Linked DNA regions of Arabidopsis thaliana. The protein of the gene in region 2 interacts with the protein of the main gene of each other region in a pairwise test. Each region holds a gene or a part of one and is shown on either strand. Other genes may lie near its edges. The genes, in order: IAA20, NAC094, IAA34 and ERF9.

Region 1 (7,695 bases), on a different chromosome or scaffold from region 2:
CTTCAGTTTATGAAGGTTACAGGCAATCTCTTTTCTGTATCTGACGCTTGGCCTGTTGTCCCTTGAGAGGTTTTCTTAGTACCGAAGCTAAATATTGGTGTTTCCGTCTCATCTAATGTGGGACTAATATTCCTAGGTTGCAAAGGAGATGCTTCTGGAGAACAACATGGGGAAGGACTTGAGATTGGTGCTTTATATCCAAAGGTTGGACTCTGGAATTCGTTTTCTGGCTCAACAGACTTTTCCCTGAAAATATTACTCGGCCGTTCATGTTTATCGCCATTTTTAGATAATCCCTGGGACATCTCTGGCAGAGCTGCTGCCTCAGCTTCTGGCGATGGATGAAAATCTCCTTCCCTTGTGCTAATATCTGGTTTCTGTTTCCGGGCTTTGCTCTGTGGATGAAGGTCATGGGAACTTCCCTTTTTGTCTGAAGATGAAGATCTTTTGCCAGTTTCTGTGCTTTCAGAACGTGGTGGAGTATTGCTCTTGCTCGCCTCCTTCCGACTCCAATCAGCTTCATCCTTTTTTCGAGAATGAGCCTTACGGCATTTTACAACAGTGTTTTTTCTTCTACCCCTTTGTTTCTTTGGCATAACACTGGAATTCACAGCAGTGCCAATTTTTCCGCGCAAACCTTCCTCAAAAGAAAATACACTATTTACTTGTTCTGTGCACTTGCGACCTAAGTTGGCACCAGCTTTGGTTTTCTTCTGGACACCTTTGGCTCCTACCCTCCTCTGCAACAAAGATCTGGTTACTGGCCTTCTGGTAGCATTTTCAGGGCTTTCAGAATCAGTTTCGATAGAATCTGAATTGTGTCTAGGCTTAATAAGAGGATCATCATTTGAACCCTTGTCTTGACTCAACTTGAAGTTGGTCTTCTCAACTTCTGGGGTCTCAGAGTTCACATCTTCATTATTTGCTGGTGAAGCTTTTCCCAATATCTCCCACAGTTTTGATCTCAAAACATCAGTAGTTCCATTTGTCTCCTTCCCTGGCTTATCCATCTTCTCTCTCTGTGAGGCAACCTTTTGCTGCAAGACTGCAGATGGAGGTTCTTCCATCCTCTCTGGACTCCTATCCATCACTCTATCGTTCCTGCCACCATTCAGCTCACCAAGACTGTGCTGAGGACTCGAAATGGGACAGTTTTGAAATGATTCACGAGCTGGTGTCTGATGTGCTCCATTAAGTCCCTTGTTTAATCCTTTGCTACCAGACAAACTAGATGTTTGCTTACAAAGAACACTCTCAAGAGTCCCTAATTTCCGATGAGACGATCTCGGAGACCTCCAAGGTGAGGTCACATGTCCTGTGACCTGAGCTGAATTCCTTTGCTTGGCAGCTAAATCACTTTTCTCTTTCTTGTTCGCCTGTAATTCAGTTACGGTGGCTGATTTCAACTTTTCTACTCTAGCAATAACATCTCCATCATCCTTATCTGGCACAAGATTCCTTTTCGGTTGTGAATCAGCCATAACTCCTATAGAAATCTTTCTAGATTGACTTGATGGATGGTAGTTACTGCCGAAGCTTCTATAGTCGCTCATCTTTTCCTGAAATGTATCACCACAAGGTTAACAATTCTGCTGGGAAAAAGAATGTAAATATCAACGAACACCTAATCACTCATATAATTTCTGAATAGCAACACAAACAGAGAAGTAAAGCAGTACAACGCAGGCTATATTCAGCGATAATGGATGATAAATTAATCATTAGGAATGGTAAATTTCTAACACTCGGATAAAAAATTTGGTAATAGAAAATCCCAAAATAAGAAGGTGCTAGATCTGGATAATATGACGAAAACAAGAGAAGCAGCAGATAATAGATGCTTGAAACGATGAACAACTAGCGAGATGTGATATCTCTAGCAACGAATTTCATACCAAAACTCTCCGATTATGCAAAGACAACACTATAACGCTGGTACTAAACTCAAAATCGAGACGATAACACCAATTTAACGAAAGGGGGCATAGATCGCGACGACTTATCACTGAATATGAGAGTAACGAGCCATGAATCGAAAACGAAAACAGAGAAAATCGAGCGATGGTATCATTGGCTAAGAAATTACCTAATCAAAGCTCGCGGGTACAAGTGCGAAAGCCCTGACTCTCTGATTCCGGTGAAGAATTAAGTGATCAAAGAGAGAAAGAAGATCGCCGGAATATTAACTGGAATAAGATCTGAGAAAACTGATAGAGAGAGAGAGAAGCAGAAATTCGAAATTTCTAGGAGAGAAGCGGGGGAAAATGAAAATTTAGATTTCTCAAAATGGTGTGTAACAAACACTGTCTGTAGCTGAATTGCGTATACACGACGCCGAACATTTGGACGATTTTAACCCTGAGATTTCTTCGTATTTACATTGCATCGTAACCGTCAGATTGAGGTGAGTACATGTGTCGTAATCTACTTATCATTCTCAAAATTTTGGCGCCTTAATTCGCCTCTCAAAAAATTTCAATCGCTTCAAAGTTCAAACGGAGACGGTCTTTGCATATGTCAAGTTTCCGTTAAACTTTGACGGGTCAGGCTAGAGCCATCCAAGTCCAACTATCCCGGTGACTAGCGTTTATATATATGCTACATAACCAGGCCCGGCCCAAGTGGGTAGTGCCTGGGCCTAAGGCCGGACTGTACATAACTGATCATTAATTTGAGTTCTATTTAACAAACATTCTATTGTTATTCCATGTTTTATTTATGATCCATACTCGTAAAATAATTCACTTATTTATTATATAGTTTATATATATATATATATATATATCAACATCGTATTTAATAGTTCACAAACATACATAATTTGTAGAGGATAAATTTACAAAAAAAATGATAGGGAAAAAAAAACACTCGATTAAGTGTCATAATGTGAGGAACGAGATTACGTCATACAGAATCCACAGGGACAAAATGTCACACTACCAGTGTATTTGCTTTGTAAGAAATTTAAAATCAATTCAAGATTTGGTAAATCTATATACAATTCATGAATTGCGTGCGTAATCTTAACATTTTTAAGGATTTAGAAGAACCAATAATATATAGTATCTATAAAAAGACACGCACGTAACATCTCGACTCAATACCTACACGCACGCATGCAAGTATCTTTTACTTTATGGAGGCTATTGTTTATCTATCTATATAAACGTATTAAGCTTCTGCATCCTAACCATGGAAGACCTCCACTTGATTGCCCTCGGGGGCTACTCTTCCATTCAAATTATATTACATATTTTAACACTTTTTGCTTCCATTAAATTACTTTCTTTAATATTAGCAGTTTACCTTAGAGATGAAAGTAACCAAACTTTATGTAAGGAATACAAATACAACTTTAGATAATATAAAAAAAAATTATTAAAGGATAAAAAAATATTAAAAAAATATCATGCATGCAAATTCTAAATCAAAATTGATTGCAAGAAAAAAAAAATACATATATAGGCACTCCATTCATTTAATCACCAATTACTTTTTGAATAGAAATTCTATGAGTTTTAAATTTTATATACGATATCAACGAAGAAATAATTCGACTTCTTCCAATATCATAAAAGTAACATAAGCAAGTTCAAAATTTAATGCTTCATTAAACCAAAATAAAATAAAAAATGCTTCATGAATATATATATATATATATATATATATTTGAAATTATTTGGTAGGGGAAGTAATGTTTTAAAACTTGTATATTATAACAATGAATACACATGTAATAATGTAAACATACATCCAATCAACAAATGAAAGAAACAATCCGATAATTTCAGTAATGTTAAAGCAAAGGGAGGAAACAAAAGGCTATGATTAGTCCAACAAGAGGGGCTACAGAAAAAGAAAGCCACGAGACATGCAAATGCAATCACGCATCTTAAAAGCAAGCCCAAGTTTTGACTGACAAGCAACCACGACGCAGTAAAGTGGAGTTCTCAAAATTAGCGCATATATAAAGTACTTGAACTATGTGTGTATCTTTCCAATAAAATGCAATTCTATAATGACTGCCAAAATCAGTACTTCATATTATTTTTGAGGAAATATCGTATATGTGTATCTTTTTCTAACAAAAGTTTTTTTATTCAATATAGAAAAAAATGAGTATATTTACAATTTACATATCATAAGATTAAAGTTGCAAAGAAATAAAGAGAAGATGCAAATGAAAATAATGGAAGAAAAGAGGGGACAGAGAGGAGGCGGAGGCAGTAAGAAAATAAGAAAGTGAGGAAATTGTAATTTGTAGTGTTGTTAGGGAACATCTCTCCTTTATCCTTTTTCTCTTGATTTTTTTTTTGTTTCTTCAATATTTCTCTAAAACTCAATTGGTTCCAACTAATTAGTACATTTTTTCCAAACTGAAATATCGAAACCTGAATTAAGCGAGGGAACCAAGCCGGTTTCAACTCTAGTGCGTATATGTCTCTAATTGCTTACATGGTTCAATCCAAACCAAGCTACACTATGCTTGCACGTTGTGTTATTTTGTGAAGGATGAAATTATAATAACGAAGTTTGATGAATTGAAATGAAATTAGTTTCGTCACGAAGCACACATCCATTAAAATTTGATTCTTATATTATATTTTCAATGAAATTATATAATTTTACCATAAGGCACGCATCCATTGTACAATGTACATGTTGTGGTTGAGGGAGTCCACGTGGAAACAAAAATGCCACGTGGGTAATGACAAGAAATATAGTCGTTGGTCGTTGTGTCGTGAGTGTGTGTGTTTCCTTTTTCTCGTGCTTGCAAATATGAGAAATGTGACGTCTCCTTAAGTTCCATAGACAAAGGAACTCTCATTAGGTCCTCTCTTTAAGGTGAACCATTCATTACTCATGCCCCCTCTCTTCCTTCGCTTTTTTTTTTCTTTTCAATTTTCAAATTTTCTCTATTTATTTAGTTATTATTACGTCTAACAACTTCTCTTTCGCAAATATATTACGTATGATTTACATCATTATATAGGCACTTTTTACCGGTTTGGAATAGTCCGTTTTAGACCGATTATGGCAGCGCTGATACAACTTGTTTAGTAGTTGACTAATTTTTTTTTATGTCTAAGCTTCGAATAAACGTAATTGTAAAGAAACAAAAATGAGATTTATCTTCTTTTTACATGAAATAAAATCGGTCTAAGACTTACTTATTGGGGGTTTTGATTATTCAAATCATCTGGTGGAACTAAATCGCATTGTTTTATGGTTAATAATGACTTGGACTTGAATCATCGTAGGCTCAAACATTTGTCATGCTTGCATACATATGATGGGTCCACAACTCCACATCGTAACTTTCGTCATAACTTTTGTTAAACAGAAGTAAAGAACTATACCTAATTAACTTAAGAAAGAAGTGTTAATCCGATTACTAAGCAAGCATTTACCCAAACACTTTCCGAAAATAATTTGTTTGATTAAAGTGTTAATTGTATCGAGGTCATATGAAAACACATTAATTTTGGAAATGTGGGAAGTAATGTAGTTCCACAAACGCCTCAATGCGCGTCACGATAACCTTTCATGCATTGAACACGATTAAGAAGATGTAATTTCTCAATATTAACTTTAATACTACTTCATATCATCAAAACAGCTAAATGTATATATTTATTTTTTGGGGTTAGATATCAAACATTAACTAGCGAGAAACCGAACCCACAAAATCATAACCAACACTTTGATCGAATCATCGTTTGACACGTGTTTTGGTCTGCTACACTAACAACATTTTTAGCGGACGCTGTCTCATCATTCCACCGTCGCTTTTTATTTGTGTGAACTTTGAACAAAAATACGAATTAAGACCATATCAAATTTAAAATAAAATAAAAACAAGTCCTAGTTTTATCTTCTATATAAACACACACGTACAAACCAAGCATGGCGGCTCATTACTCATTTGTCTTAACCTAAAATTATTATAAAAAGGATAGAGAGAGAGAGAGAGAGCTAGAGATATGGGAAGAGGGAGAAGTTCATCGTCTTCTTCAATAGAGAGTAGCAGCAAGAGCAACCCATTCGGTGCTTCGTCAAGTACTCGAAACCTAAGCACGGACCTGAGACTCGGACTCAGCTTCGGGACATCCTCAGGGACTCAATATTTCAACGGTGGCTATGGGTACTCCGTTGCAGCTCCGGCGGTAGAGGATGCGGAATATGTGGCGGCTGTGGAGGAGGAAGAAGAGAATGAGTGTAACAGTGTAGGGAGCTTTTACGTGAAAGTGAACATGGAAGGAGTTCCAATTGGAAGAAAGATCGATCTAATGTCTCTTAATGGCTACCGCGACTTGATCAGAACCCTTGATTTCATGTTCAACGCATCCATTCTCTGTAAGTTTCTATGTATACATAATGTCATATCAGAATGATTTATATGTCTTAGAGGTAGCAAATTTCTAACGATATTTTTTTCTTTCTTATAAGTCCGTTTTGATTTTTTTTTTTTTTTTACGGAATGAAAAAATACTTCCGCTCATTACTATTCTTTTGTTTGAAGGTTAATATCGCCGTAATAATCGCCCATCACTATTTCATAGGTTGTTTGTTTGTTTGTCAAAAAAAAAATCTGGATAACGTTATATGTCAGAGTTATTATTCCGTAGGTAGAGTTTATATATTGCGCAGTGTGTAAGTACTGTGTAATGGGTAAATTGTAAAAATGATGAAAACTGATGGGAATTGAAAAAATGGAAATATATAGGGGCTGAAGAAGAAGACATGTGCAATGAGAAGAGTCACGTGCTAACGTACGCAGATAAGGAAGGTGACTGGATGATGGTTGGAGATGTTCCTTGGGAGTAAGCACTCTTTTCATCCTTTTTTGTATAATTAGATTGTTAATTATGCAGAAAATTAACTATATGATCATCCTTATATATATTTTTAATTTGTGGGTTGATTTTTTGCAGGATGTTCTTGTCTACTGTGAGAAGACTGAAGATTTCAAGAGCTAATTACCACTACTGATATATAAGTCTACGTACTTGTTGTGTTTAAATCGAAGTAATGCCAAGAAAAAAGTTTTTGCCTGATGTAAATCAATGGTCGGATATTTATAATATTATTTTCATTTTTCTTTTGTGATAGATAGTACATAAATCTTGAACTCACTCTGATTATTCTCGGTAGTACACAAAAAAATAGTAAAAAAAGGAAAAAACAATTATCCGATCGACAATCATGTTTCAGTGCATTAAACCAGTCAGACCATTGGTCATTGGATATTTGAATTTATATAATTAGTTGAATGCTTTTATAAATAAAATTATAGGATGTACTTTCTTTTGTTTGTCAAATAGGATGTAGTCCAGTTTCAGAAAATACTAGTAGTCAAGAAAACCAAGCGACAAATTAATGTCGAGAGACAACTTCTAAATTTTCGAAGAATTTTTGGATTTGATTATCGATTTGACCACAATGTACATTTGATATATACAAGGAAGGAGGCAGGGGAAACAACAAATTCCCACCTGATATTTCCTACTTTGTGTTTTGGAAATAAATGGGCCTTCTCCTTTGATTAAGCCCAAGTTCGATCCCATCTATAAATAATGCAACTTAAAACTCACAAAAGTATTCGGCTTACGCAAAATATAGGGTTTCTGTTTATTCCAATCATAGCTTCCGGATCAAGCAAAACAGAGACCGAGACGGAGCAAATCGCTTCTA
Region 2 (7,803 bases):
ACATTATGCGTTATGCAATACTTAGCAAAATAAACATCAACAACATATTAAAATTCTTACGAGAAGATGAAAAAACAGTCTCACACTCTCTTGAATGAGCTTTGTTATCAGAGAAACATCGAGTTGTCGATAAGAAGGTTGTTGTTGGTAATATCACTCGTAAACAGGTTCTGATCATAACCACAAGGAACATGCGGCATCAACCCATAGTTGTTGTTCACAGATTCTTGTACCGCAGGAGCAGAGTGATCTTGTGTGTTTGAGACAAAAGAATGTTGGAAGTTGTTGTTGTTCATAAACATGTTCTGATCATAATTACAAAGCTCCTGTTGCATCAAGCCAGATTCTTCTTGTAGTAAGGCTGAGAACTCTTGATTGAAATTTGATGCAGAGAGTGGGATTTGAGAGAGCGTAGCATCTCCATTGTTACTCATGCACATGTTCTGCTCATAACCACAAACCTCCTGCTTCATTATCTGACTCTTCAACTCAGATTGTTCAAGTAACGCTGAGAAATAATCCTGATTGAAATTTGATGCAGAGACTGGGATCTGAGACAGAATATTATCTCCATGGTTATACATAAACAGCGAAAACTGGCTAGGGTTCAAAGATTGGGTCTGATTATTCAGAGAGGATGATGCTAAACTCTGATGATCCGGTTTTGTCTCCTTATGTTTCTGCGACTCAACAAAACGAATCCTTTCTCGGACTTTAGAGACATGAGGTTCTAAGGACTGAATCAGTTGAGAAATTTGGTCAGGAGAGTAATGATCAGCAATTGGATACTTTAAAACATTCACGTTCTTCAGACAAGTCTTTTCAAGTCGTTGTCCTTTATCTTTGCTTTCTTCTCCAAGTTCGTCTTGTTCTTCTTCTTGTTCAGGAAGTCATAAAGAGTAACGCTCTTCTTGCGTCTCAAGGCTTCGTTTAGTTGACTATACCTGAGAGCAATGTCTTCCACTTTCTCTCGCTCCGGAGGCCATGTCTTGAGTTCTCCGTCTGGTCCGTAATAGATGACGCATGCTTCGATATCACAGAGAGTGCAAAGCTCTGAAGCTTTCCTGAAGATGGTCTCAAGTCTATTGCTCAAACTTGTTGAAGCGAGTGAATAAGAAGAAGACGAAGAGGAATTGGAACAGCCTGAGGAAGAAGGTAAAGATCGAATGGCCATCTTCTTGTTGATTTCGAAGACAATCTCTCTATTTTTTGTTTCACGTTCAAAGTGAAGAGAAAGCACGAAGACGAATGAAATTGAGAGAGTGAAACTACGAATTAGGTTTAGGAAACCCTAAGAAGATGATGAAGAATATGAAAGTCAGAGACAACTTTGTGAAATAGCGATATACTTATAGAAAATTTGGTCCTTAAAGTTAGATTTTTTATTTTTTTTTCACTCTTCTAATCGGTAAAACAAAGCTTGTGAAGATTTGATTTCCATATCTTTTGCATAGATTTGTGTAATTTAGCCGTTAAGGACTGATAAAAAGGAAATAGTTTTTTTTTTCTACTCTCACTCTCTTTTAATTAATAAGATCTATAAAAAAGAAAGATTTGCTTGTCCATATATATTTCAGATACCCTTTGTATCATTATGTAAATAGCTCTTAATTAATAATATAATTATTGGATTTGCTAAAAATTTGTGACAATACAATCTAACAAAAATCGACCAAAATACATCCATTTTAAATAAAATTTAGAACCCTCCATTAAAAAATGAGAAATATAATTTATAACTCCGTGTACCTTTTTAATCCATTACTTTGCCATTATTGACATAAATAAAAGATTTTGCAAATTCATATTTTCTTTACTTATTTTCAAAAAAAAAAAAGAAAGCATTGTATCCTCTTCATAAAGAATATGAAATATGGCTCTGAAAAATCCAAAAAAACTAGTGTCATTCAAGAATGAGACTTAATGATTAATATAAAAAGCCATTACAATTATCTATACCAAATTAAGGAGAAGTTGCATGTTCGAAGCAAGTCTTTGTTTTTTTCTTTTTCTTTTCGGCCTTCAAGAAACCAAAAGAGAAGCAACGTTTATAGTAAGACAAGAAAAATTAATACATATTAGCGATGATCAACGTCTACACTAATTCAAGTGTTAATAGTACTATGATCTTAATTGTTAGTGGAATACGACGTCGCCGACATCTCACTCCCCGTAGTCTCCTCCATCACCATTGATCTTACATTCGGAACCTCATGAGTCAACCCTCCAGTCAAGTTGTTGAAGTAGTTATTCTCATTGTTGCTCAGAACCAGAGCATCCCCTGTTCCATTGTTTCTCAGAAACAGAGCATCCCCTGTTCCGTTGTTTCTGGCTGTATTGTACGTGACTCCGAGCATCTGAGACGCGAAGTAAGAAGCAGCTGATTCTGTGAAGCTTGCGGGTTCGTTGACTGGAGAAGGAATAAAGTTTTGTCTTGTTGATATGTGGCTGAGAACGTCTGATGAAGCTAAGAGAGTTGCGGTGTTGTTGTGTGACTGTTGATTGTTGTCAGGAATCGTTGGATAAACCCAAGATTGTGGGATTGATCTTTGTGAGGATACTGCATTTGTCTTCTTAAATATTCTACATATCGCCCAAGCATCCTACAAAATGAAAAAGATCGATTCTAATTTGTTTGGTAACCTAACCTTTGTTGCGGGTAAAGCAAGTTAGGGCAAATCCGATAACTTACGTTTGAAGGAAGCTCCTTGCTGTTGTTGTTATTGTTAAGGTGTTGCTTCTTGTTATTGTAATTGGGATATGATGAGTGATGAGAGTCAGAGAGAGAAGGGAGACGAAATTCATGCATCATCCAATCGGTTTTGACTCCTTTAGCAGCTCGACCACGGTAGAACACAAGTGATTTCTTCAAACCGATGCATCGAGTGGAGTCCAATGAGTATATAGGCCGGTCTGTTCCGGTTGCTTTCCAGAAGCCACCTCCAGTTACTCGGTTAGGTCTTGTGCTGTTGCGGTATTTCCTGTCTCTAGGACAATAAAAGTACCACTCTTTTTCCCCCATCGCTGCAAGCTCTTTTTAAACATTGATTTAAGAAAATGCATAATCAAATATTTTGTTTCCATATATTTGGAGAATTAAAAGTTAGAGTTTTGTGGCTTACTTGGGAGGTCCCATGGATCGTATTTGTAAATGTCGACTTTCTTGATGAGATCAAAGGGAAGAGATTTGTGTAAAACCTTCCGTTTCAAGTAGAAACTTACGAGTTCTTCATCAGTGGGATGGAACCTAAACCCTGGCAATACGACGTCGTCATATCTTTCAACGTTGTTACTCTCTTCATCATCCATAACTAGAACCATTAACACACACAGAATTAGTACTTTTGGGATACCAAAATTTGATGAAGAGAAACAGAGAGATTTATAGAGATAGAGAGAGTAAGTTTGGGGAAGAAGGAAGAAGTTTCTTAGAGAAGAAGAAATGGGTTCATAGGGAAACGATAATTGGACCAGAAAGTGATGCGTAGGTATAAGACCAATGTCTCTTGAATAAGAGGAGATTTATACAAGAAAGATATTATGAATCTTGAATTTTGCCGTTAAAATTATTATTTTTCTTATGAGAAGATTCAAACTTCAAGGTTATTGCGTACTTCGTGAAATCGAGGCTACGGACGAGTCGAACAATATAGGAAAAGTTATACTTACATTACGTATGTGGTTTATCTTTAGGAAAATATGATATGGAAACGTTTTTCTTCCTTTGTTTCGATATCTTATAGATGCATTCTACCAAAAAAAATCTAACTATATGGTTAATGACTTAATGATGATACGACTTTGACCGACTAATGTCAAACGTTTTTCTAGAGTAGAATCTATATGGGATCCAATCTCTATATCTATAAGTCTATAAGTAAAAGTCTTATAAATTAAGATTGATATTTGAAAGTTGTGGTGCTTAAGCAAAGGGTCGTTGTAGTTTTAGTTATAGCCGTAAATAAAGTAATGTTCTTTTACGTAAATTATGAAATCTCAAATTCGCGATTCCCTAAAATTAATTTATTCCTTCCTTCTTCCACATTTATTTATAGTTTCATACTTTTATATATATTATTGTAACATATAAGAAAAGTAAAATCCATGGTAAGTCAATATAGGCATTGGTAAAATCGAAGGCATTGCTTAAGGTTGCTATATATGTCTCCAAGTTTGAGACATGTAAAAACATAATGTATACGTAGAATAGAAATGAAGATCTCGTGGTAAAAAAAAAAAAAAAAAACAAGATGAACCAAAAAACAATTCAAGATGAGAGAAGTCCAAAAAATGGCCTAGGTTTTTTAACCCACGCAACACAAGTTGGGAAGTTTGGTCAATAGCCTTTAACCTAAGCTTTCTATTTCTCTTTATATGTAAAACATTAAAGTTGTCAACAACCATCCTCTTGGAATATCTATTAATGCTGTGAAAATCCAAGTTTTTGCTTTAATGCTTTGAACGGTTTGTGCTTTAAAACCGATACATCAAACCATCTATCTCCGAGACTAAACCCTAGGGAGCATGTATCGGACATGCTCGTCGTCCTCAAAGGAAGAGGATGATGGAGGTACACTTGCCTCTCGGCTGGTACAACACTCGCTCGCAAGGTTCGATTAATAGCTCCTCCAAAGTGGTCTGCTCAACCTAGAAAAGAGAATTGAAGGAGACATTTTAATTTAGTGAGATAAAAAAAGTAAATTGTGAACCTGAAATAAAGAAGTGGAGATGTTTCATAAACCTTGATAACACTTTTGAAAGAGACCTTGCACAAGACAATCACATTGTGGTCCACCTAAACAAAAAAACAAAGTATACATGGTAAGACAAGAGTCCAACAATGAAGAGGAATTTGGAAAATCAAGAAGCAAACCTACAGTTTTCTTTTTGTTTCAAACTTTTAAAAGCATAATTCCTTCATCTTCCACTCAGGCCTCACATCGTTTGATTCACTCTTAGGACCTAAACTGAATGACGTCTTTAGCCCAATGCATATTTGCTGTTCTTCTCGATTAACACTTTTGGATCGCGGCGTGACACCCATTTCCCGATAGAAGTGCTGTTCCCTATGAATCCAAACTAAAATCCGAATATCTAGGCCTAGATAGCGATATGTTTTTCTGGTCTGCTCAACGCATTTTCATATTTCAAACTGCTGGTCAATGTTTAATTTATGTATAAAATAATCACATGTGAAGTTGATGTATAAAACTGTCACAATTTGAAAGTTGGAGTATTAAATGACATTTTTCTCATTTCGATTATGGTGAAACGACGTTGTATTGGAAACTAAAAGAGACTAGTTAACGGATGTTATCGGATCTGTTAGCGGTAGATAACGTCGTGTGTATTTTGGCATGATCAACAAATAATTTTGTATGAAATGGTGCCCGATCAACGTATTTTTATATATTAAATGGCCATATACGAAGTTCACATATTTAAAATAATTACTTTTTAAAATTTCGCGTATAAAATGCAATATTTCTTAATAAAAAAATAAATATCTGCTTTTTTGGGTTTTTTCACAACAAAATAACACATATAAAATAAATAAATCATTTATTTTCTAAATTACTAGAGAGGGCATTTCGGTATTTCAAGTATCTTCTTCTTCCTAAGCTACACAAAAAATTATCTAAGATTCTTAATTTTATCCAGGTTTTTGCCAAATCGACTGGTCTCAGAGTTTTCTCGATTTTTTTTGGAAAGATGCAGGTAATAGCATCTTTCTGTTCGAAACCTAATGAGAATGAATTTGTTGGTCGACGACAACTTCTTTCTTCAGTCTGTTCCAAAATTTCTCAAGGCGACGTCGTTTCACACCCACCCGTTTCTTCTGTCAAGTAAGCATTTTAGCTTCTTCCATTGCCCCAAATTTTGCTGAAAATTTGTTCCTTTGATTTGGGTTGCTCAAAGATTATGTCTTTTCCTGATGGGCTTTAGGTTACTAAGAATGGTGTTATGTGTGAATCAACGTTAGTGAAAAATCACCGTAAAGCTTTTAACTTTTGGAACAATCTTTTGGAGAAACTTCTCATTTTGAATCAGACATTAAGATTTGTTGATTTCTTGGAGAATTTTGATGTTTATGTTACTTTTTGACTGTTTGATTATTCGATAGGGTTACTCAAGATTGGAAGTCGAATTTACATGAGTTAGCTGTGAAAAGTGTCCCTTCGACGACAAGGAGAATCTTGTTGACAAGTTTATTCATGAATTTGTGCTTTAATCCTTCAAGGTACTTATCAGGTCTGCACCTTGTTCAGCTATTTGCTTTTCTTCTAACGCTTTGTTTACACAAATCTGATGAGGAATATATCTTGTTTAAGAAGCTTAATTGTGACAATCAGAGCCTTTAGTTCCTAGCTGGTGATGATTCAAAGTTAGTTTAAAGGATTTTGCAATACTAGTGGTAGAGTTCTGAAGCTCCTTGAACTAGTCTAACCTCTTCATTAACACTTATAGTAAGCTTATAATAAGATGGTTTTCATTGATCCATTAGTGATAGAATTTGATAATTGAGTATGCTCCGTGATGTATTACTACAGCCTTAGCACTTGGTGATCCATCCGTTGCAACCGTTGAAGATGTTAGTCCAACTGTTTTCCCAGCTGGACCTCTTTTCCCTACTGAGGTTTGTCTCTTTAGCGAAAGTACTTGTAAGTTTCAGGTTTTGATGGTTATCCTAAAGATTTATATATCTTTTCTATGTTTCAGGGGAGAATTGTGCAACTGTTTGAGAAGAATACTTATTCCGTTGTCAACATCTTTGATGTGACATTACGGCCTCAGCTCAAAATGACGGGTGTGGTTGAGGTACTGATTCGCAGTACTTAAAGAACACCTCTTTTTAATGTCATTATCAATTGTTTTGACTTACGGTTACACTCATAATCTAATTGTAGATACCAGAAGGAAATGGCTCTGGAGTAGTCTGGGACGGACAAGGATACATCGTGACCAATTATCACGGTAAGATGATTTGAATGAAAAGTTATTGAGCTTACAAAGTGCTTGAGATGGGCAAGGACAATATCATAAGTTTTTAGTTGTATCTTCTGCTGAACAGTTATTGGCAATGCCCTTTCAAGAAATCCTAGCCCCGGGGATGTAGTTGGTCGTGTGAATATTCTGGCATCTGATGGGTGAGGTTTTTTATCTGCGGGATGGATTATTTCAGCCGTTTATATAGTCTCTCTAGTTATTTTCATGTCTGCTCGTTTGTGTAAATCTTGAAGGGTACAGAAGAACTTTGAAGGAAAACTTGTTGGTGCTGATCGTGCTAAGGATCTTGCTGTCTTGAAGGTATAAATAAACTACAGGTTTTGTGTCATTTGTCTTATAGAATTTTAAAAGAATCAACTGCTTATCACAAAAATCAGGTGGATGCTCCCGAAACTCTCCTGAAACCGATTAAAGTTGGGCAGTCAAATTCTCTAAAGGTTGGACAGCAGTGTTTAGCAATTGGAAACCCGTTTGGTTTTGACCACACTCTTACGGTTGGTGTCATCAGCGGTCTTAACCGTGACATATTTAGTCAAACTGGAGTTACCATTGGTGGTGGAATTCAAACTGATGCTGCCATTAACCCGGGAAATAGGTATGTCTACAGAATCATATAAAAGAGGATTACATTTTTCTTGTAAAATCATTTTCTGTGTGTTTAATGGATCTTTCTTTATTAAATTTCGCAGCGGAGGTCCTCTGCTCGATTCAAAAGGGAACTTGATTGGGATCAACACGGCCATTTTCACACAGACAGGTGATTTTCATTGACTCACAGAATCATGTAAGAATCCA
Region 3 (8,065 bases), on a different chromosome or scaffold from region 2:
GGAAAGTGTTGAGAAGATGGAACTGCCTGTCTTTGGTCTCGCCTCATACAAGTTGAGAGGTTCTGTATGGACAAGCTTTGGTGGCTCGGGCCACCAGCTCGCGAACTCTCTCTTCCAAGCCGCAGATAATTGGCTGAGGTTGCGTCAAGTCAACCATCCTGATTTCATCTTCTTCTGCCGCCGGTAATGATAGATTATACTATGATGACGAAAAATGATATAGGAAGTTATAAAAAGGAACTCTTTATGATTACTGTCTTGAGGAAACCTTACATATAGGATACTGTCAAAAGTTTTTCATTTGGTAGCTTCTGTAAATTCACAGAATGCTAGTTTTCTTATTGTGTGTAAAACTGTTTTTGCAATAAAGGCTAATAGTTGAGAAAAAAGGAGGACTCTATGGTCCTATCTGTGTGTTCGGGTTCTAGTAGTTTTCTCTTGATGGCATTGGAGCAAAGACGAGCCATCATATGGTGGAAGGAAAGCATATCAGACAGCCGCTCCGCCGAAAGTTTGTCCATTGCTCTCTCTTGTTCCTCTTTCATTTTCATCCTTTTCATATACACACATGAGTTCCTCACCGTCGCTCCCATCTGCTTCAGCCTATTCTCTTGTTGCTTGCTTAGAACTGTATTAGCCTGCATGATTCATTCAGCCATGTCAGAAAATCCAATATTGAGTGGCAAAACATAGAGCCTGTATGTATGTAAAACAAACGAATCTCTGACCTCTAGAAACTCAGCTTGGGAGAAGCTTTTGACGAGTGTGGTGGTCTTCCTCTTCATCTCAACCTGTGTTGCGTTTACTTGTTTCTTCTGAAATGCGATCACAGCTTTCACAAACTCCTGATAAACTAAAGCGCAGCCTGGATAATCAAACTCATCAGAGCCTGGAAGCCTCATCCTCTCTGGATGAAACTGCAGACCCATCAAGAACTGACCTTCCTTTGGATCATATCGATTCGGATCATAAAATCCTTCAATCAAACCATCAGGAGCATAAGCCATCGGCACAAAACGTTGAGCCAGTCTCTTCACACCTTGATGGTGATACGAGTTCACCATTATCTCCATCTCCTCGAACAACTTATGTAACGGAGTCTCCTCCACGATTCTAGCCTCGTGTCTGTGCCCATCGTAGTTGTCATAATCTATATGATTTGTCGTTGTCATCGTAGTTCCGAGTTCTTTGTCGATGTCTTGGTAAAGAGTTCCACCTGCGGCAACGTTGAGAATCTGAGAGCCACGACAAATGCCTAAGAAAGGAATGTTTCTTTCGAGACAGAGTCTAGCTAGAGTCAGCTCAATGCTGTCTTTCTCTCGGTCGATGGTCATGTCCTCTGCATGCGCCTTCTTAATCTCCTCCATGTCTTCTGGCGAGAGGTCTGATAATTCATCGTCCGCGTAGAGAGAAGGATCGACATCTTCTCCTTCGCAGAGGAGGACACCATGAATAGGCTCGAAGCTCTGGAGCATAGAATGGATCCCATTGACACGTGGGACAATGACAGGGACGGCACCGGAGGAGACGATGAGATCGAGATGGTATTCTCCTACGAAGTCCACGTACTTGTTCTTGCGGAGAGTCCGACGAGAGACGATGAGAACTCTGGGGAGAATCTTGGACGAGAGATCATTGGCGACAACCATTTTTATGTAATAAATAAATCTCTTCTTCTTGTTTTGTCTTGTTTATGTCTTAATCCTCTCTTTCTTAATTGGATGGTTATGTCTTAGTTCTCGTTCTTTATTTATAGATTGGAATGGAGGCGTCGAGGCGCAGCGTCCACTCAAAGCTGACGCACACTTTTTATTATCTGTATACGTTTTTGGTCAAACCTTTCCTATTGCCTATTGGATGCTGAGATGGACTTCTCTGGATATTCCAAATTATTCCTTCTTTTGATTTGGTTATGTTAAACAAAAAAACGTTTTCTTAGTAATAAATGGATATGGATCAGATTAGGTTCTTAGGAGGATTAGATATGAATGGATGACTCATTGACTTGTAACAATATTAAGCATGCAGAGCATATACTGTATATGTCTTTATTTTATACTATATAAATGCATGTCTTTCTGTATTTGGAGGGTGTTGAATTAATTATGGAAATCACGTCATCCTAATCAGCCACCGGTTCAGTCACTCTTACGTGTAAAAGATAACGTCGTAGACTTTCAACAACTCCGTATGAATGAAAATGTAAGAAAAAAGATCGAGGTTGTCGCCGGAGTTGAGCTCTCTTGTCTTCACAAGGCCTTCGATATCCTACTCATTTTTCGTTTATGCGGATTATGAATTGAAAAGTATGAAAGATAAAATGGCAAATTCACCATCGTAATTACACCACTATATCTTAAAACTGGATGGTTCACAATATCTTCGTATCATGGTAAGACGAGAATCCAGACGTAACATATCGGAGCTCTAGTGATCAGGATTTCACCGAAAAAAGTAGTTCGTGGTTCTTTCTTTATTTCGAATATAATCGTATTCAAAGTTACATTTACCTTTTCTCTTTTGTTTCATTTCCGATTCAAGGCTGACTTGGAAATTATAACAAAGAGTGAAGAAAGAGAGAAGCTAATATTAAAAGGGAAGTACAGCATCGTTTCTTCTTGTGATTCTCAGCCGCTCCACGCTTTCTATGAACTCACTGTCATTTACAAATCACAACACATGTAAACGCTTTATTTCAGTAATCTACAAAGAAAGTATCAAGAGCTTACTTCCATGGAACATCCCCAGCATTTCTCCACAGACCTTCTTCGTCTCTGTAGACCAAACAGAACTCAGACTCCATCTGGAACAACCTCAATCCCGACACACTCTGCATCCCTACAGATTGTAATGAACATCCGGTATAAGCCTACTAGGAACATTACTACTTATAGTACTTACTCATCTTTGAATCCCAAGCTTCCCATGAAAAACTTACCAAACATGTCCTCGAGTTGATGAGCAAGAGTTGAATAGCTTCCATGATCAAGAACACAGACCTTGCGACCTACCACCAAACCATCCATGGTGACCTTTACATAACCCCACTTCCGTCTGTATCCTTCATTACTACAATATCCTTTGCCACATGTCATAACTCATAAGTAAACACCGTCTCAGAGTTGAAAAAATTTACCAAGAAATTAAAGGTAATGGAAATACTAATGGAAACGGCAAAGAAACTCACTTTGGCCAGATGAGTGGTAAATCTCATGTTGTATGGTTCTCAGGCTGAGACCTAAATCGATTACGCCACCAAACTCCGTGGTCTGCGAGTAATATGGATGATACTTGGGAGAATTTGGGAAAACACCGAGTGGGTCTGAGTCCATTGTTGGTTTCTATAACAAATACATATTCAGCACATAACAGATACATAGAAAGGTGAGAATGATGTTGATTTATATCAAGCAGCTAAGGCTAAGAGTGTCAGGAGAGTTAAGAGACATCATTGCAGACAGGGAACAAACAAAAGACAAGAACACATTACCTTCCAGGAAAGGATCAGTTTGTGGTCTTTTTGTTGTTTGTCTGATGCCACTAAGTGCAAGGGATGGGGAGGATCGCTGCAATACATCTGGTCAGCCAACACAAAAACCTGAAATTATCGTGAAGTCAGAATTGTACTATACTAATCACAGCAAGCACATCTCTATCTAGTGAAGTGTCTCAATGTTATCAGAGAGTGTTGACAACTCATTGTCTCAAGTCAAAACCTGTAATCACTCAACATCAAACACGTTACAAAAGAAATAGGTAAGTCGTGCTAGAGAATTCTGTACCATAGAGAATCCAACGAATTAATTTATGGACAAAGAAAGAGAAGAACTAGGTATGGTCTTACATGATGGTGGAGAGACAATATCTTTCATGAAAGAGAGCTCTGTTGTTTAATACTAGACAATTCAGATCTATCATTACATCATGTATCCCACACATTATCTGAGAAGTAGGGCTGTGTCATTAATGGATCTAAGACAGAAAATGTACACATAAATCCATGTCTATACAATTGCTCTCATGGATAACTCAAGTCCTCCAAAAGAAGCAAAGCAGTACAAGAGAACACACCAGTTCTTCTAAAGATAAATGTTCAAATAAAAAGCTCGTTGCCATAACAAAACAAGGGAAATCATCACAGTAGACAAGAGCTTCCAGCATCTCATTCGATGCTTTTCCTAATTTACAGGTGTATGACTTGAAAAAACTGCATCCTAAGCTCATGTACAGTTTGCCCAGATACTAAATGTACGTGTCTTAAACGGAAATGGCATCCTTTTTAACAGGCGCTTCTGAAACACACTTCTTCGACACCACCTTAGTGCGACGTCTACAATCTACATGTGCTATAGCATGCAAGGAACAGAAACTCCCGAAATGTTTCACTTATGCGGAATCATGGTGGCTAAGAAATTCAGTTATGCAAGGATAGACTTGCTCCACTGCCTGCAGTAAGTTGTCAGAGAAACGATTAACAAACGAAACAAGCATGCACATGATACAGCATTGAACAAAGTTCCAACATAGGAGGAGACCTAGAAATGACTGGGGAACAAACATACCAGTCGTCCTCCAACCAAATCATAGTGTGCATAATGTGGTCCATCTGGTTCTCCAAGTAACTTATAAGTGACCAAGTTCTCCGGAAACAGCTTAACAGTGTCTGCCATATTCACAAGCATTTGTAATTAGTCATAATGGTGAAAATGCATGTGTGAGTAGCTTAAAAATTTATTTGGTGTGTGTGGAAAGTATCACAAAAGTTAATCCATCTACGCCTTATACAGCCTCTCATAACTCGAAAGAATTCAGTAACAGCAATGTAGAATTTAAAATGAAATGCATATCTGGGTAAATGAATGGTTTCATGTATATGCTAGAGTCATCTATGCAGAATTTCATAATAAACATTATGTTAGTATACCTTCCACAGCCGCAGGGGGGCAGATCAAGTCCCGATCACCTGCAAGAGCTAAGACAGGGACACTGGTTCTGGGAAGATGATCCTTATAGTAAAATTTACCACTACGATCACGTAAGCCTCCCTCTCGAAAGGCCGTTGTCAGCTGAATAAGTAGTTTTGCAGGTATGGTACCTAGATGTAAGAAAACAAAGAAACTCTTGAAAATCACCATAAAGGGAGCAATTACGGATTGCAAAAAAAGTCATGGTACATTCAAGCATCTAATAGTAACTGTTCCAGCATTTTCTTTTTCTTAATGAAGATACGTTTCTTTTCCACTTAAAATACATTAAGAACTCACATACTTAAATGGGATCAACTGTTTTTACTTACAGAAGTTATTCAAGACAAGCTTTTCTAACATTTCAGGGTGCATCATATCTGTTGATGATATCAAATCATTAAGCCAAGATAATACATATGGAGGACGTGTCGAAAGAGGAAAAGCGGCAGCCAACAAAGCACCCAGAGGAACAACTGGAACACTCAGAGCTTCTGCAGGATTGGCCTGTAAAAGAAGTATCTAGTAAATTAGCTACCAAAGATATTTATGGCACATCAATTCTTGTCAAAGATTCCTGCGCAGAGTGATATAACATAACGACACGTACAAGAGGTATGAGCAATTTGAGTGCAGAATTTGAGGTTGTGTAATCAACCGATGATGCCAGAGTTGCCACAGCTGCCACGGAAGGTTCTCGTCCTTCAAAAGCTAACAAAATAATAGAGAAGAAATGAATTTCGGCCTTAATATATGAGCCTCTGTTTGAAAGATGAATACTAACTTACCACAACGTGATAGCATTGCATAGAGTAGGATACCCCCCATGGAGTGCCCAATTGCGAATAGTTTGCCGTCCTTGGGCTTGCTTTGTGCTCTTACATACTCAATCTATAGCAAACCAAAGACGGACACCCAATTCAAACAAAATTCAGACACGATTATGCGAAGTATTCAGCAAGATCAACATTGCCTCACCGCAGCAGGGACATCCTCTTCCAGGTAGTGATCAAAATCCCAGTCATATTTAACTATCAAATCCAGTTGCTTCTGAAAATCTTCTATGGTCGCAGTGAGGCGCTCTTGTAAATCAATCAGCGGAGGCGAGACAGACCTTTGACCATCGTCGAAAAGATTCACAAGGCGCTGAGCCAAATCTCTGACTTGGTTAACAAGTCCTGAGTTTTGCTTTGACTCTATCAAACTCAAAAGCTTCGATCTTATATCATTAAAGCGCTCGTACAGCTGTGTATCATCTACAAGCATTGCAATTTTGTCAAACAACTTAGCAGACATGAACACAGACTGACCTTCACTGAGAAAGCCAGAAAGTCTTTCTGACAAACTCATGAAAGTTGATGTCAATCTCGCCACAAGCTGTGACTCGTCCCAAGCCGATGCTTCGCCAACAACTGAAACATCCGACGCTGGTGCAGGTGCACTACTGTCCATAATATCAGTAGTCTGCTTTTCATCAGAACAAGTTTCTTTACCTGCAGCAGCTCTAGCAGTAGATTCTATCTGATTCGACAATTCATGAGCAGATTCCTCAACGTCCTTAAGATCAGATACTCGTGTACTCAATCCAGCTCCACGAACCTCGAGAATCCAAGTCTCAAATCCCTGTCCAGACATATGCCTTGCAAAAGAGCACTGCAATGACATCAACGAAGATTTACTTGACATTGATCAACAATAAATCTACTTCCTCATCTAAAGATACACTAGTACAATGTAGATCTTGATGATAAAGATTGACATTAAAAACGATGAAGGTAACATACACCAGGAGATAAATCATATCCGATGGCATTAGTTCCTACTCCAGACAACAGTAACAATGGATGATTCCTCGTCGGAGCCTAAGAGAAGAGAGAAAATTCTTGATCACAAAAAAAAATATATAATCCAAATTGCAGATACAGAGAAAGGTGATTGTTGAAATTCGAAAACCTGAGGAGGAGGCAAGTAGCGCCAGAGAGCGAGACGCCAATCGGTGTTAGGAACGGAGACGTAATGAAGCTCGTCGGCGGTGCAAAGAGAAGGTTTCGTGGGGAGCTTAACAGAGGAAGAAGAGAAAGCTCTCGGTCGTAACAACGTCGTTCGGTGACGAAACGAAGGAGTAGTAGTGACGGTGCTGATGGAACGGTGGAGATAGACGGTGGAGGAAGCCCGGCGAAGAGCTGAGCGGATCTCCAAGGGAAATTGTGGAGGCATGGTGGACATGGTACGGACTCTGGCAGATTTGGAAAAAAACAATGGTGGCTCGGTTTCACTCCGGCGTGTTTTTAAGGATCTTCATTCATTTTCCGGTACACGTGGAGAGACGACCAGTGATGTTGATGATTGACGAAGACGTGACTTTCTTATTTTGACCGCAAATATTTTGGGCCAGTGATATTGCAAAAGCCCAAATTTACAGTGAGAGTTTTTTTTTTTGTTTCTCTGGCCTTTGGTTGTGCGTTGAAGACAAGGAAGGTATTAGTGTAAAGCAAATTTTGTCCAATCATCTTGATTTGGAATTTAAGATGTGTTATCTCAAAAAAATATCAACAAAACCAGATTATATATCACTGATAATGAAACTAAATTTATAATGTATCTAACTAAATAGCTAAAAATGTTAATATAATAAGCTATCATCTTAATTATTTAAATTAAATTTACTAATATACTAAGCGAGTTAGTGAGAAATATAAAGTCAGATTTGATCTAATCATCATATTATTTGTACATTTAGTACTTTTCTTATCTCACTAAATTTAGGAAATATTGATCTAAAATTGAATTTAAAAAAGAAACCAAAAATAAAAACTTTCAATTAAATATAATATTTTTTGTGGTTAGTTTTGATGTTTTCTTTTACAATTTTATATAGTTGATTTCTTTCCTGATATTTTTGAACAACTGATTTTTAACAGATTAAAATATTAAACAGAGTAGTCTCTGTTATTTCTGACAGACAAAAACATAAAGCTAAAGAGAGAGGAGGTTGCTTTTTCTTTATTGGACGAACAAAAAACTTTATCTTTCCTTCCTTTGAAATCTCCCGGAGAAAAACTATAGAGATTTTCCGTTTCCCGCTTTAATACAGTGCCCCA
Region 4 (7,776 bases), 1.9 Mb from region 2:
TCAGACTCATCAATCTAAAGATTACATTGACCATTCAGCAACATTGACAACTTCTAAAGTTTTGTTTTAAGATCTTCTCTTCCGATCATCTTCACCATCGTCATCGGAGTCACCGCTCTCACGGAATCGTGGGTTCTTCTCCTGTTACAATCACACAAAATTCCATAGCAGACAGTGTTTTAGCATCAGATACTAAATATACTCGAAACGTTTAGTAAGGAAAAAGAAAAAGGCCTTGTTATTTACCGGTCTCATGTCACTATCAGTGTCTCTCCTAGACTCATGATCTGTGTTTCTTCTTGAGTTATCGCGGCCATAGCGATCATCGTCTCTTTGTCGTTTCCGATGGTAGTCTGCAAAAACATTAAAAACAGTGAATTGTGCTATTGTGGCTGAGGATTACACTATTACTACGCATTATGTCATTTGGGATAAAAATACCTCCTCTTCCATGGCGATTTTGTCCTCCTTGACCATAGTTTCCACCACCACGCCTTCCATTTCCATCTGTGATTAACATATGCAAAAAGCATTTAGGAATCTAGTGTTTTGCAGGCTCTATTTACGGATTCTCACATAATTTGACTTGAATAAGATACTTAACACTAGGACCATATCTTGTTTCACATTTTCACTATCTATTCGAAAGGGAACTGGGAAAACAATAAGCAGATGCTTTGCAAGATAAAGAGTCTTATTCTGAGCACTACAATTCTAAGTAAAGCAACTTAAGACTCGCATTCATGGTACTTTTAGTTCACCATTTGTCCACAGTATAGTGCGAAATCATGAAACCAGGAATAAGATCAAGTAAATTTGGTAGAAAGTTGAAAAAAACATACAATTCGTTGGCGCAGCTTGAGGATAAGCTCCCAATGAGCCAGTACCGTAATCCACGAGCTGCCTTTGTGCTTCGAGTTCCTTCTGAACTAATTTCCCATAACCACCTCTAGGTAATCAATGAGTTAAGGAAAAAACACATGGATTGGCGGGAAATTCATAACCGAGAAATCAATCTTTCCTACCACAAAACAGGTATACTAAACAAGAACAACAGAGTGCATAACTATGCGGACTAAAAGGATATCAGGATCGTAATCTGTACGGTATTCATCACGAACCTGTATGAAATTAGAAAACCATGATGACCTTTTAATTGTAAAGAAACGGTCAGGGAATTACAGAGAGGATGATGCATCTGATGAATACCTGGCCACCGCTTCTACCACGGCCCCATTGTCTTCCTTCTTGGAATCCCCAATCAAAATCCACACGAATAGGCCGGTCATCGAGAATAGTCCCACTTATATACTTGACTGCATCTTCAGTATCCTCTCTAGAGTAGAACCTGATAAAAACAAGACACAAAACCAAAACTCAGCAACCACCATAATGAAACTTACATATAAAACTGTTGAAGATGAAAGCTTACAGGACGAAACAAAAGCCACAAGGTGTTTTAGTGTTCTTATCCAAACCCATGATGATCTTTTTGATTTCTCCAGCTCTAGAGAAAAGCTCGTAAAGCTGTTCTTCAGTAGTGTAAAAAGACACATTGCCAATGTAAACCGTTGTAGATGCTCTTAGCGCTTCATCAAACTCCTCTTGTGTTCCTGAAAATCTTCTATCACGATAAGCTGATAGCTTTGCTTGCTCCTGACAATCAAAAACCCCAAACATGAAATCGTGAGACCAAACCCTAGACAACAACTTCAAAAATCAATTAGAATCGCTTCAGACCCATCAGATTCCAGACAACCCGGATACTAAATTCACTAAAAACATTAACGAATCTCGATTTTCTATGCTAGAAAAAGCAAAACCCAGAAATGGTTTCCGATAAAAATCTAAACTTTATGTACCTTGAACAAAGAAGCCATCGCTTCACGGTGAGAAGAAGTGAATCTGCGATGATGAGAGAGGAGGATAGCTTAAATTAGGTCTATGCGGGGTGAAAGAAGAAGAAGATGAGCGAGAAATCGAGAAGGAGAGACACTTACACTCGTCTTCTTCAAAAAGGGAACCCTAATTTCTAAAGCAGAAGCAGAACTGATAGAAGAAGGCAAGGACACTCCGGCGACTCTCGAGTATCCGGTTTCATGGCCCACCTTACGAAACCTTACAAAGTTACAATTAATTCACAAATATTATTGTTGGTATTAATTTAATATTAAAACAAATAAAAAACCCAAATTTTTTGCATCTAAAATGTTCAATCAAATAACAATTCCGGTTTGGTTTCGGTTCAATTATTTCGGTTTCGCTTTATTTGTTTAAACCATAAAACCAATTTGTAATTCAATTTAGTTAGGTCTCGACATAATAATCGAACCCTACGAACCAACCCAAACCCGACCGAAAACCCTGATCCAAATCCAAAAATTTCAAATATTCAACGGGTCCTAAACTTCAAAACCCGAAAAACTCTAACCCAAACCCGATCTGAACAAATATCCAAACATACCTCAAATATTTGATATATTATTTATATTCATACTTAAATACAGAAAATATTTGGATATTTGGATATTTTAGTTATTTTGTGTATTTTAGGTTACTTTGGATATATTAAAGTAAAACTATTCGTGTTGTTTTGAGAGTTTTTGAAATTTTCAAGTAATTTGATAAATTTACATACAAAATTTTGATATTTTAATATTTAAATAAACCTGAACTCGAACGGTTTAAAATTTTAAAATACCCGAACGGGTCTTAAACTTCTAAATCTGAAATACACAAACTCGAAATATTCGATCCGAATACTGAACGCCCTTTAGTTTTAATTTGGTTTAAATGATATTCCGGTTTGGTTTGTTGTGGTTGTTGGTTTTAATTTCACAGTTCAGCATTAGCAAACCTTAAATTTTATATTTTTAAACATCCTTTATTTCTAATTTCTAGATTTTTGCCTATGAAGATATCTTCAAAGTAATGTTTTAAGAAAATACCTCTTTAAGGACAAGAAAATCATATAAGGAACTTTGCTGAGGAGACATAGAAATAGTTATTTCTCGTTGTTGTAAGCGGTGGTTTAGGTGACTCATTTTCGAAGTTAAAGCTCTCGTTAAATCTGTGTTGAAGCTTCATAATCTACTATGGTGTTCCCTCCAGATCACTTTTTATTACTCCAATACTCATTTTTGAGAGATTCACTGAAGATACTCTAACATACATACGTGTATCTGTAACGTAACGGGATTCAAATACCATTTTTTCTCTTTTTTTGTGTTATGTTGTAGGATCAAAAAAATTGTGACTTTTGTGTGGATTAACATTTGACAATAACGTTAGACGTATCCATTATTCATGTGTTAAAGTAAAATACTTATTCAATAAAAGTTAATATAATTCTAAATTTGTTTTATTTATCGAGTTAAATGAGTTAACTATAACATATATTACATATATGAAATCCTCTACAGCTGTTACACAACAATGTTCATCAATATCCAATGCTGCTATTCTTCTGAAATCTGGACATCAATCGCAAAGAATGTGTACAAAGATAGATTTTCCACAAAATGGTCTGCTGTGGTGAATTACATATCTGATTCTCAGCCTGATCGCATCCAAAGTTTCTTATCCAGGTACACATTCCAAGTCTCTATTCATTCCATTTGGAGGGAGAGAAATTCTCGTCGTCACGGAGAGAAGTCACGTTCAGCTTCAAACCTCATCCGACAGATAGACAAGACTATTAGAAACCAGCTATCGACAATCAAAAAGAAAGGGGATCTTCGACTCGAGAAGGGGCTGCAAGTATGGTTTGACATGCGTCCATAGCATCCTCTAAGAAAGAAGACTCTGTTTTTGCTCTCTCAATTCTATTTACTCTGTTTTTGATCTAGCTCTATTTCTCTTATTATCAAAATATCAAAAAAGCTGATGTAAAAAGTATATTTTTTCTTTTAAATATAATTTGACATTTTATTCAAAAAAAAAAAAAAACAATGTTCATCAATAAAGTTGATTGTTGTTGATTTCTTAAAACAGGAAATCAACGAAATCTCCCAAAGTAAATAAAATTGTGTATCAACCTGTATGCCATGTATCTAAATAACAAATCAAAATCTTTTAGCAATAGATTCAAAAAAAAAGAAAAAACTTTTTGCAATATGATATGTCATATAATGATAATTAAGTTGATACAAATTGGATTCTTAAAATAAACTGGATTCTTAAGCTGCTAACCATTTATTAAAAAAAGATATTGACACATTTACCTACTCACATATTATCAAACCATATATCTAAATCACCTACTACATATTTCATTCGAAACATTGTACATAAATATATCTCTATACAAAATTTAAATGACAACATTGTCAACATAGAAGTATAGAACCGTGGCTATTAGCTATTCATATTGGGCCGACAAAAAAAAAAAAAAAAGGCTATTCATATTGGTGGGTACTAAAATAAGGCTTGGAAATTCATATTAATGTAAAACTCATTTAATCGTTAGAGAGCGTGGTAGTCATGTAGATTAATGAAGGAGCGTGAGATCAAGCAATCAAATTACGCAAAGTCACGCCGCAGTAACGGGACGTTAAGGCAAAAAGCCGTCACAAAAACATTAAAACCTCTCACATTGTCTGTTTTTTGGGCGGCGCTTTTCAGTCAAACCCTCGTTGACCGTCTCTTTCTCTTTCTCTAAACCAAAAACCTTTTCCTTTATAAATTAAACCAAAAACAACGTCACTTCTCTATCTAAACGAGAATATATCTCTTCTTTTATAAGCAATGGCTCCAAGACAGGCGAACGGTAGAAGCATTGCCGTGAGTGAAGGCGGCGGAGGGAAGACGATGACGATGACGACGATGCGGAAGGAAGTGCACTTTAGAGGTGTGAGGAAGCGTCCATGGGGTAGATACGCGGCGGAGATCCGTGACCCGGGAAAGAAAACCCGGGTTTGGCTCGGGACATTCGACACGGCGGAGGAAGCTGCAAGAGCTTACGACACCGCCGCTAGAGAGTTTCGTGGCTCCAAAGCAAAGACTAATTTCCCTCTTCCCGGAGAGTCTACTACGGTTAACGACGGTGGCGAGAACGATTCTTACGTCAACCGTACGACGGTGACGACGGCGCGTGAGATGACGCGTCAGAGATTTCCGTTTGCATGTCACCGGGAGCGTAAAGTCGTCGGTGGTTATGCTTCTGCTGGTTTTTTCTTCGATCCGTCAAGAGCTGCTTCGTTAAGAGCAGAGCTTTCTCGGGTTTGTCCGGTTCGGTTTGATCCGGTTAATATCGAGTTGAGTATTGGTATTCGAGAAACCGTAAAAGTTGAACCGAGAAGAGAACTAAACCTGGATCTTAACCTAGCTCCACCGGTGGTGGACGTTTAGATTTTTTTCTTCTTTTCATAATTTGTATTTTACATTGCCGGAAAATAATTAATGTTTTCTTTAGTAGATGAGAAAAAGAAAAATCTCCTATGTTTTTGGCTAAGTAAGAGGAATTTTTTTTCAGAAATCTCCTATGGTTCCCTAATTACGTGGATGTAATTAATTACTAATCAAATATCTCCTTTTGATATTTTTTTTCTACTTTTGATGTTTTTTCTTAAATGTCTTAAAATGACATGATGGTTGGTTGATGTATCAAATAGGTAGTAGATATCACTCCATTAAATGGATGTGGAATATGAAACCAAGAAACATCGAACATTTAGATGGTCTGTCAACATCAAACAATTTAGTATAGGAGAGTACCCAAAAATAAAAATAAAAAAATCGGATGATCATGACACAAAAAAGTAGTTATCGTTTTCATTAGTTTTCTCATTATATTGAATTATGGTTTCATGGTTTGGTTTATAAATTAGACATGTAAAATTCTTTTTTCATCTATGAATTGTGTAGGAAGAAAATTAAATTCAAAAGTAAAAAAACTGTAGTGAGTTATGAGTTTTTTTTTAAAATGTATTTGAAAAGTAGAGTGGTAGCATCATGAGTCCAATCTTCGAGTTTCGTGTAGATGGGGATGATGGCATGAGTGTCAGGTGGGAGGCACGTGTGCTTTAGCCGTCCATAATCTGTTTTGTTCCTATGCTTTCAATTTTTTTAAACCACAAACATATTTTGGCTAGGGTGGCTTTCTTACGTCTAATTATTATGTTTTGGTTTTATTTTTGTCATCTAAAATTTTATTAATAAAAAGATGAAATATATATACCGCTGATAAAAATTAAATAAAGAGATAAAATTATATTATATGTTAGTAATAACTCTTTTGAGATGTAATTAATTTTGTTGAAAAAAAATCATAAGTACTAAAAAGGATCGCATCTAAACACTATTGAACAAAAGTTAGAGAGATTTTCATAAAGGTTCCCCTATAGAATATCTAAATGTCGGAACCACCAATAAATCCGAATAGACCAGGCACCAAAGATAAGCAAATAACAAACCAATATGGATGAAAATAAAAATCCAACACGACCATAGGACTCAAATAGAACTACTAACACACTTCACCAACAAACCACAGAAAGCAAGAAACACTAGAATTAAGACAAAAACTTTAAATTGACTGCAGATAAATCACGTAAGATCAATAATTCTTATATGCAGATATTAGTCGAAGTAGCGTAGCCATCTATAAACTTAGAGCTGATTAGCGTTCTATCTAATTATCTATAAATTGTTTAATTACATTAGTTTTTATTGGAATGAGTATATTATAAAACCAAAAACCATCACAGCTATCAGATTTATAACCCTCTAACCCGTTAATTAACAAAGCCTAAAAGTCAATCCCATCTTTATATCAGAAACTTTAATACACATTTTTATTATAACAATCAATTATATAAGGAAAGATCCAAACAAATTCTATATCATGCATTGGATAAGTCGCCGAAGTGGGTGTGGGACTCAAATTAAGGTCCGGTAAGCAGATATATGTGTGGCTCCTACAATTAGTCGGCAGATTCTGCGGAGCGTTCATTCTAACTATTTTCTCACGCACTTCATTATCGCGTGTCACTCACCGACAAAACATAGACCACGTGATCTCACCGCCTCGCGCTTAAGTTCATACAATTTTGGCCATTGCCTGAAACAGCAGCTCCAACCATGTCTCACCGCGTGTTGGTCTGCTCACGAGCCTTGCGTGCGTCGTTGTCTTAATGCTTTGATTTTAGTATTTTATTAAGTAACTATCAAGTCAAGGCATTAAGTCATTTTCGTAATTCACTGACGGTTACAAACTTACGACATTTAACAACAATCTTGAGCATTCACACTTGACCTTTTTTTGACACTTTTCAACCATTGACTTTTCGTAGTTTCGACAATGCATGCATGGACATACAAAAGCCTTGAATGCGAAGAAGGATCATCTGTACTTACTTTTACATTCAAACAAAAATTAACAAATGATCTGATATCGAACCACTTTTTGTTTTATAAGAAAATATATTTGTTTTTTCTCTCATAGTTTTTCTCCTGTCAACAAGACCGTTCATCCTTACCAAATAATGGCAGATTGGTATAAGATCTGTTTTTTTTTTTTTTTTTTTTTTTTTAATCGTGTAGTTGTGTTGATAATAAACATGAAAAGATGATACTGTATATTTCAATTTTTACCGATTTTAGGTATAATCTAGGCAGGACCGGCTCAAAAATAATTTGAACCTTGTGCCTAATTATTCAGGATTTTCTATTTAACTTTTGAAGTGGATTTTTTTTTCAAACAAGAGATATTCATGAGTCTATCTATATTAGATTATTAGTAACTAGATTACCAAATAAATTACAGTGTCGTTAGTT

The links.
Region 1: the proteins of NAC094 (region 2) and IAA20 interact in binary tests that used the Arabidopsis thaliana proteins (3 or more experiments, as listed by UniProt).
Region 3: the proteins of NAC094 (region 2) and IAA34 interact in binary tests that used the Arabidopsis thaliana proteins (3 or more experiments, as listed by UniProt).
Region 4: the proteins of NAC094 (region 2) and ERF9 interact in binary tests that used the Arabidopsis thaliana proteins (3 or more experiments, as listed by UniProt).

Annotation. Positions count from the first base shown.
Region 1 is NC_003071.7:19,301,877-19,309,571, forward strand, and holds IAA20 (indole-3-acetic acid inducible 20), read left to right. Parts: upstream 1-5,837; 5' UTR 5,838-5,984; coding exon 5,985-6,357; intron 6,358-6,727; coding exon 6,728-6,824; coding exon of another isoform or gene 6,825-6,828; exon of another isoform or gene 6,829-6,935; coding exon 6,936-6,993; 3' UTR 6,994-7,195; downstream 7,196-7,695. Other genes in the region: ASY3 (asynaptic protein), read right to left, coding at 21-1,553; AT2G46995 (uncharacterized protein), read right to left, coding at 7,592-7,695.
Region 2 is NC_003076.8:15,937,171-15,944,973, forward strand, and holds NAC094 (NAC domain containing protein 94), read right to left. Parts: upstream 3,421-7,803; 5' UTR 3,322-3,420; coding exon 3,123-3,321; intron 3,034-3,122; coding exon 2,693-3,033; intron 2,604-2,692; coding exon 2,130-2,603; 3' UTR 1,940-2,129; downstream 1-1,939. Other genes in the region: AGL98 (AGAMOUS-like 98), read right to left, coding at 108-737, 815-1,174; DEG8 (Trypsin family protein with PDZ domain-containing protein), read left to right, coding at 5,713-5,846, 6,125-6,252, 6,552-6,637, 6,721-6,819, 6,909-6,975, 7,073-7,148, 7,242-7,308, 7,386-7,603 and 1 more.
Region 3 is NC_003070.9:5,179,667-5,187,731, forward strand, and holds IAA34 (indole-3-acetic acid inducible 34), read right to left. Parts: upstream 3,748-8,065; 5' UTR 3,578-3,747; coding exon 3,491-3,577; intron 3,364-3,490; exon of another isoform or gene 3,342-3,363; coding exon 3,188-3,341; intron 3,080-3,187; coding exon 2,939-3,079; intron 2,839-2,938; coding exon 2,730-2,838; intron 2,657-2,729; coding exon 2,590-2,656; 3' UTR 2,325-2,589; downstream 1-2,324. Other genes in the region: AT1G15030 (hypothetical protein (DUF789)), read left to right, coding at 1-187; GAT1_2.1 (Class I glutamine amidotransferase-like superfamily protein), read right to left, coding at 372-638, 729-1,649; AT1G15060 (alpha/beta hydrolase family protein), read right to left, coding at 4,387-4,446, 4,563-4,663, 4,925-5,095, 5,297-5,471, 5,575-5,675, 5,753-5,855, 5,943-6,617, 6,749-6,826 and 1 more. UniProt on the Arabidopsis thaliana protein: Aux/IAA proteins are short-lived transcriptional factors that function as repressors of early auxin response genes at low auxin concentrations.
Region 4 is NC_003076.8:17,801,996-17,809,771, forward strand, and holds ERF9 (erf domain protein 9), read left to right. Parts: upstream 1-4,401; 5' UTR 4,402-4,746; coding exon 4,747-5,349; 3' UTR 5,350-5,546; downstream 5,547-7,776. Other genes in the region: CBP20 (CAP-binding protein 20), read right to left, coding at 67-141, 247-353, 442-507, 843-953, 1,088-1,121, 1,210-1,348, 1,433-1,656, 1,863-1,880.